Linked DNA regions of Macaca fascicularis. The protein of the gene in region 2 purifies or fractionates together with the protein of the main gene of each other region. This does not show direct contact. Links are inferred from orthologs where the notes say so. Each region holds a gene or a part of one and is shown on either strand. Other genes may lie near its edges.

What was found.
Region 1: the proteins of PTPN3 (region 2) and SHKBP1 purify together in Homo sapiens (affinity purification with mass spectrometry; 4 studies listed by BioGRID and IntAct, with this or other methods). This does not show direct contact. The link is inferred for Macaca fascicularis from reciprocal best matches to the Homo sapiens genes PTPN3 and SHKBP1.

The regions. Positions count from the first base shown.
Region 1 is NC_088393.1:47,703,012-47,706,759, forward strand, and holds part of SHKBP1 (SH3KBP1-binding protein 1), read left to right. Parts: intron 1-169; coding exon 170-370; intron 371-1,099; coding exon 1,100-1,255; intron 1,256-1,556; coding exon 1,557-1,653; intron 1,654-2,604; coding exon 2,605-2,783; intron 2,784-3,090; coding exon 3,091-3,214; intron 3,215-3,336; coding exon 3,337-3,542; coding exon of another isoform or gene 3,543-3,568; exon of another isoform or gene 3,569-3,578; coding exon 3,579-3,604; 3' UTR 3,605-3,748.
Region 2 is NC_088389.1:48,615,934-48,619,681, forward strand, and holds the start of PTPN3 (tyrosine-protein phosphatase non-receptor type 3), read left to right. Parts: upstream 1-1,551; 5' UTR 1,552-1,640; intron 1,641-1,906; exon of another isoform or gene 1,907-2,198; intron 2,199-3,748.

The DNA of each region.
Region 1 (3,748 bases), on a different chromosome or scaffold from region 2:
AGGCTGGTCTTGAACTCCTGACCTCAGGTGATCCACCCGCCTCAGCTTCCCAAAGTGATGGGATTACAGGCGTGAGCCACTGCGCCCAGCCTCTCCTTGCTTTCTGACTGTGTCTCCGTTCTGTGCCTGTTTCTTTCTCTCTGCCCTGGTTTCTGTTTCTGTGGCCCAGGCCCTCTCTTCATCCTTGGCCCCTCACCAGGTGACAGTGGGAACTGGATCGAGATCGCCTATGGCACCAGCTCAGGGGGCGTGCGGGTCATCGTGCAGCACCCAGAGACTGTGGGCTCGGGGCCTCAGCTCTTCCAGACCTTCACTGTGCACCGCAGCCCTGTCACCAAGATCATGCTGTCGGAGAAGCACCTCATCTCAGGTGAGCCTCTGTGGGGTGCTCCAGTGCTGGGAGAGACAGCTCAGATGGGAGTGTGGAGGCAGAAGGATTAGAATTTCCACTGGGGACGGACACTGTGTAGGAAGAGAGCTCTGGTGGAGAGGATTGACCTGGGATGGGACTGTAATTGCAGAAGTGAGAGAATACCATAAGGGGATCGGTCTGGGGAGGAGTCAGTCTGTGTGTGTTCGGGAATCCATCAATTCAGCAAGGATTTATGGGGCACCCACCGTGTGCCAGGCATAGGGGATACATTGATGAACAAGACGGGCCAAGTTCCTGCCCTCATGGAGCTGACATTCTAGCAGGGATGGCAGACAATAAATATATAGAAATGGACATCAATGGCCAGGTGCGGTAGCTCACACTTATAATCCCAGCACTTTGGGAGGCCAAGGTGGGTGGATAGGACAGGAGCAGGGACCTCTGGGAGGGGGGTACTGATATGGTCCAGGCAGGTGACAAAATAGACCAGGACCAGCGTGGGGCAGAGGACAGGGCAAGGTGACATCAGGCTCTGGAACAGTTTTGGAGGCAGAGGCAACAGGGTTTTTAGCATTTGGAATTCTGGGGAGGAAAGGATTCTCTGAAAGGGAAGAACTCAGCAAGGGCTGACCCTCCCGAAGCGGAGCTGTCCTGGGGCTCTGGAGGGGCAGGCAGCATTGATGCGTACAGCAGGCCTGATCTCCTGCTCTCCCTGTGCCCCCTCAGTCTGTGCCGACAACAACCACGTGCGGACATGGTCTGTGACTCGCTTCCGCGGCATGATTTCCACCCAGCCCGGCTCTACCCCACTCGCTTCCTTCAAGATCCTGGCGCTGGAGTCGGCGGATGGGCATGGCGGCTGCAGTGCTGGCAATGACATTGGTGCCTACTGGCTCCTGGCCTTCCCACTCCACTGACCCCCTTACCTGACCCCTGTTGACCTCCACTAATTCCCACTTGTGGCCACCTGACCCAGGAGCCTGCAATGATTGGGTGTCCTGATCCTTGAGGCACCTGAGCTCCACTGACTGCTGCAAGCCCCCAGCCCTCTCTGGCCCTGCCCAACTCCAACAGCCTGGGAATGGGACCCGGGTCTTGGGATGGTGGGTTTCATCAGTGGGGAAGGAAGTCTGAGGCTGAGGGGACCCCAGCTGGCCCTGACCCCTGCCCCTGCCTGGCCCAGGCCCCTACGGCGAACGGGACGACCAGCAAGTGTTCATCCAGAAGGTGGTGCCCAGCGCCAGCCAGCTGTTCGTGCGTCTCTCATCTACTGGGCAGCGGTGAGGACAGTCCTGTCCAACAGGGAGGGAGGTCAGGGGAGAAGGCAAGATGCCAGCCAGGTCACTGAGGCCAGAAAGGGGTCACAGCCAAGGAGCATTGAAAGATCAAAGGCTGGGAGGGAGGACAGGCCTGGTGGGTTTGGGGTGGGAGGTATCAAAGGTGTGATGGGTGTGGGTGGGAGTGACCTGGCGCAGTGCCAGCCCAGTGCAGGCAGGGCCAAGTTGGTTGGAGGCACAGGGGGAGGGGTCAGGGTGGGATGGGGGCACAGGCAGAGGGGTTGGGGTGGAATAGAGGAGACCCAGGGAGCTGTAGGAGCCTGGCTTCAGCTGGGAAAGGGGCCTCAGAGGCTGTTCTGGATGAAGGGACTCTGAGCAGAGACCTAGAGGACAAGTAGGAAGGAGCAGAAGAAAGAAGGGAGGGGAAGGGGGCCCCAGGCTGAGGGAACCGTATGTGCAGAGGCTGAGAAGGGCCAAATAGGGTCACACGGGAAGGACACATGGGCTCCTGGGCTGGAGCACAGGAGGTGAGGATGGGGTGCAGATGCGGGTGGGCCTTGTCAGGCTGTAGAAGGGCTGAAGCTTTGTCCTGTGCGGGGAACTGTGGCCACTGCACGGGGAATGAAAGGAGGCTTGGTGGGAGGCCAGGAGCCCAGGGAGGAGGCCAGGAGGCTGATAGGAGGTGGGGGAGCAGCTGGGACAGGCCTTGGGCTTTCCGTGGCAGTGGGAGCAGGGAAGAGCAGAAGTCTCTGGGAGATTCCCTGGGCATTTGGGGCTGGGGTGTGCAAGAGCTGCTGGACCCTTGGGACTGGAACTCGAGAGAAAAGCGGGCTAGGGATGGATAAAGACTGGGGTGGCCCCTGGGGAGGCAGGAACTGCAGCCACAGTGGTGGGGACTGGGACTAGGAAAGGTGAGAAAGCGAGGGTGACTGCCTTCCCCACTGCCCCCCCCAGGGTGTGCTCCGTGCGCTCCGTGGATGGCTCACCCACTACGGCCTTCACAGTGCTGGAGTGTGAGGGCTCCCGGCGGCTTGGCTCTCGGCCCCGGCGCTACCTGCTCACCGGCCAGGCCAACGGCAGCTTGGCCATGTGGGACCTAACCACCGCCATGGACGGCCTCGGCCAGGCCCCTGGTACTCCCTGTCCCACCCCAATCCCATCCCAAGCCCCACAGCCTCACCCAGAACCACTCTCCACAGCCAACTTCTTGATCTCTCTCCCAGGCCCTTGCCCTCTGACCTCTTTTCCTTTGACCCCCTCTCTGCTCCCCATCCCTTCCTGCCCTTGTTTTTCAACCCCTGTCTCAGCCTCTGGCCCCCGCGCATTGATCTCTGCCTCCTCTCTCCTGTCCTGTCTGTGGGTGCTTGCACTGCAATGCAACCCAGGCCCTTGCCCTATGACCCCTGTCTTGCCCCCTGACCCTGCTTCCGTGCCCCCCAGCAGGTGGCCTGACGGAGCAAGAACTGATGGAACAGCTGGAACACTGCGAGCTGGCCCCACCGGCTCCCTCGGCTCCCTCTCGGGGCTCTCTGCCCAGCCCCTCACCCCGCATCTCCCTCACCAGGTAGCTACAACTCCACTTCCCCTTCTGTGCAATGGAGGGAGAGGGGAGAGTGTGGTGGCTCCAGGGGCAGAGTGGCTCAGCTGCCCTGTGATGACGTGCACTTACTGTCCTTACTTCCTCAGCCTCCACTCAGCCGCCAGCAACACCTCCTTGTCTGGCCACCGCGGGAGCCCAAGCCCCCCACAGGCTGAGGCCCGGCGCCGTGGTGGGGGCAGCTTTGTGGAACGCTGCCAGGAACTGGTGCGGAGTGGGCCGGACCTCCGACGGCCACCCACACCAGCCCCTTGGCCCTCCACCAGTCTCGGCACTCCCCTCACACCTCCCAAGATGAAGCTCAATGAAACTTCCTTTTGAACAACGCAGCTGCAGCTCAATGAAACTTCCTTTTGAACAACGCAGCTGCCATGATGCCTTGGGATGCCCTGGTCCTGGGGGACTCAGGTGCCTCCCTGATTCCTATGGGAACCCTGGGTTCAGGGCCAGGGCCTCCTTGGAATAAATGGTCATTGTTACTAGGTCCCCACCTTCCCTCTT
Region 2 (3,748 bases):
CCGGGCGGGGCGCTGGCAGTCCTGCCCCTGGACTCCGGGCTCCGTCGGAATTCCCCCCGACGCGACGCCCGGGCGGCACCCGCTGCAGCGGCGTTATCCCGGGACATGCGGCTCGGGGACAAGGACCGAAATGAGCTTCTAGGGGTTGCCGGGGCCTCAGTCTATCCCTGGAACGACCGCCCCCAGGACCTGGCACCCAGGCCCGACTGGAGGGTTCCAGCCATCTCTGCATCCCTTCGTTCACATATTCAACAAATAATGTTTGAGCGCCTACTGTGTGCCAGACGGTGTCGCAGGGGGGTCCCTGCAGTAAAGACAAGCAGAGCTACAGCCCCAAAGCTGACATTCAGGAGGGAAATACAACATGAGAATTAAACAAATCGGAGGAAAAGCCAAAGTGACAGATCTCATCTGCTCCTCTGCCTCCTTGCCGTTCCCTAAGCGGTCCGGCGCCCTTTTGGGTCTTTGCACTGGCTGTTCCCTCGGCCAGGAATGCTCTTACCCGCTTATCTGCGTGGCTGAAATACTACTATCACCTTCTCAGTGTCACCCGATCAGACCGCCCATCAGCTCAAGGGCCCTATCCGACTGCTTCACTGAAAATTCACTACTTACCTCCACCCCCAAACCTCCTGACCCTGCTCTTTTTCCCTCTTAGAACTTATCACTTTCTAATATAACGCACAGTTGGCTAATTTGCTGTTTATCTGTTACCAGTCCCTCTTTCCCCAAACTCCACGGGGGGACAGAATTTTTGTCTATTTGTTCACCACGCGAGAAGAACCAGAATAGGTGCTCAATAAATATTTGCTGATAATGGATAAATCGTGTTAAATGCTATGAAGAAAATAAAGTACATGGAGTGGCCAGGAGCAGAGGGCTAATCGAGGAAGGTGGTCAGGAAAGGCCTCTCTGAGGAGGGGACCTATGTACAATGAGAAGGCGCCGGCCACGTGAAAAGCTGGGTAAGAACGTCCCACAGAGGGAAAGGCGCGCGCCAATGTCCTGAGGCTGGTGAAGTTCCAGAGTCTGATGGACAGAAAGGTGCTCTAGGATCCTCAGGAAGGCAGGTGTGAGATGAGGCGGAAGTGGGAAGCGGGAGCACAGACCAGGTAGGGGTCCCACGAGCCTTGGGGAGGTTTAACCAGGGAAGCTTACTAGTGCCGCGGGACGAGCACTGGACTGGAAGTCAGCGGGACCTCAGCTCTACCGCGCACCCGTCGTGCAAGACTCCTCGTTTCAAAGTTTCTTTGGGCGCCGACTGCTTGCCTTCCCCAGGCATGAAATCACTGAGGGCCTGGCACACAGTAGGTGCCCAGTCATGGTTGTGGAACGAATGGCTGCATGCATGCGTGAGGGAACTCAGGGCCTGCCCGGAGCTCGGCGGAGAGCCCCGGTGGCCCCAGGGGATGCGTCGGGGCGCGCCAGCCTGGGGCGGGGGCGGGAGAACACCGCAGGCCAGCCCGGACGCCCGCCCCCCGCCCGGCGCGCGGGCCCTTCGCGGCCAGCCCGGCCGGCGGGAACCGCCCGCGGGCGGCACTGGGCATGCTCAGACGGCGGCCAGGTCGCGCCGCGAGCGAGCTTCCGCGCCGCCCGCACGCGCGACCTACCTGGGCGCTCTGCGCCCCCGGATGCTTCAGGTACTGGCCAGTGCGACCCCAGCGAGCCAGGGGCAGGGCGCGGGGCTGCCGGGGGCCGGGGTCGCGCTCGGCGCCACCCCGCCCCCACCCGTCCCTGGGGCGCGCGGCGGACGCGCGGGCGGGCTGGCGGGTGCGGCGGCACCGGGTCCCCGCACCACGTCGGGGCGGGGAGGGGGCGCCCCGCCGCGCTCACCTGGCGGGGCCGGGGCGGGAGGGCGCGGGCGGGGCGCCGGGTGGGGCTCCGCCGGGCGGGCGGGCGGGCTGCCGGGACGCTGCGCTGGAGCGTGGGCGTGCGCTCCGGCCGGGCAGGGGCGGGCGCAACCCGCGGAGCCCGTGCCACCGGCACCCCCGGAGGACCCCGCGCCGCCGCGACCCCGGCTTGGGGCTCCGAGGGGGCGCACAGCGCGCGGGGAGCCAGCCAAGCGCGGCGGCCAGCGCTTGGCTCCCAGGGTGAATCCGCCTCTCGGCTTTCAAAGATGGCATTTCCTGGGCCTGGCACGAAACTCCAGCGCCAATAAATCCTCCCCGTTCCGCGGGCGATATGGAATGATTTATCAGGTACCTGCGGTGAGACAGCTGCAGAGAGGGGAGTGTATGTGAGAGTGCCCAGCCCCCCGGAAATTCCCATTTTCAGCTACCTAAACTTACTGAGAAGTTGCCGTTGCCTTAAAAATTCATGGGAAGTTGAGACAACTTGACACCTGGGTTTTCCGAGTTGGCGGAAGGAGCTTGTGACTTGGAAACTGGAGACCTCCGTTCAAGTTGGACTCCCCTTTGGCCAGCTAGTGACCTTGGGCAAGTTGTTTAACCTCGCTGGTCCTCAGTTTCCTCTCTTGCAAACAGCTGGTAATAATGCCCACCTCGCTGGGTTGTTGAGTGGCTTAAGTGGGATAAATTATGTGGAGGTGTTTGGCACCGTGCCCGGCACAAAGCTAGCAAGCAGTTGGCGTGATGTGAATTTAATTCGTTTAGAGACCCTCGTGGCTCTCATTTCAGCAGGAAATTAGAATTAGGAAACCATCTTCACGGCCTACTGGTGGAGTGACAGACCCTATCTCTGTGCCCAGGAGAACTTCTGCCGAAGTCAAGGCCTTCGGAAAAGCAATTTAGCCAAATTGTAATCAGAGAGCATCTCCTTTAAAAGCAGTTTTATACATTCAGAAACTCCAGAAGTTGGCAGTTTGGCTTCACTTACAAAAGAGCTGTTTTGTAAGATGATCCATCTTGCAAATGTTTAAGCAGATGATGGGAGAAAGTAAAGCCTGCTTAGGAAGATTTCTGTTCTAAAAAGCTCTCAAATCCAACTTTAAGTGATTATTTAGATCAGGGTTTCTCAGCCTTGCACTATTGACATTTGGGGTTTGATAATTCTTTGTGTCGTGGGCATTGTAGGATTTAGAAGCATCCCTGGTCTGTAGATTGCAGTAGCAATTCCTGTCTCCCAGTTGTTCCAACCAAAAATGCTTCCAGTATTGTCAGATGTCCCCTAGGGAGCAAAATGCCACTCCCGCACCCCTTTAGAAACACCAGTTTAATTCATGCTTTTTGTCATTAGCCTGAGTTGTTTGATAATTTCATCTTGTGCTTTTGTAATAACTAACCTTTGCATAACCTTGTAGAACTTACAGAGTACATTCACCTGTATCATCTCATTTAATCTTTACAACTCTTGTGAGGCTGGTGTCACTCCCATTTTACAGATGAGGACATTGAGGCTCTGAGCAGCCAGTTACACAGTATGTGGTAGAGCTGGGATGTGTAACCCAAGTCTCCTGGTTCCAAGGGCAGGTCTTTTTCTTCTGCATCAAGCTGCCTGCCCCTTTGTTGTATGGAGGCTTTGATATGGATGACTTTCCGGATGATTAAATCAAGATGTGAAGTATATTGGAAGTTGGAAACTTTTTTGAGATTGACTAGTTGAAAATTAACAACAGTAAGCTATTATCTGACAGAGTAGGCCATTCTAGTTAAATATTCTAGTTTATAGCGAGCTCCCATAAATCCCACATGCAGTTAATGGAATACCAATTTGCAGAGAATTAGAGTAGAATAGAACATGCCTAATACTCTGTATTGGTCCTGCGTTGTCTCTAGTGATTTGCCATCTC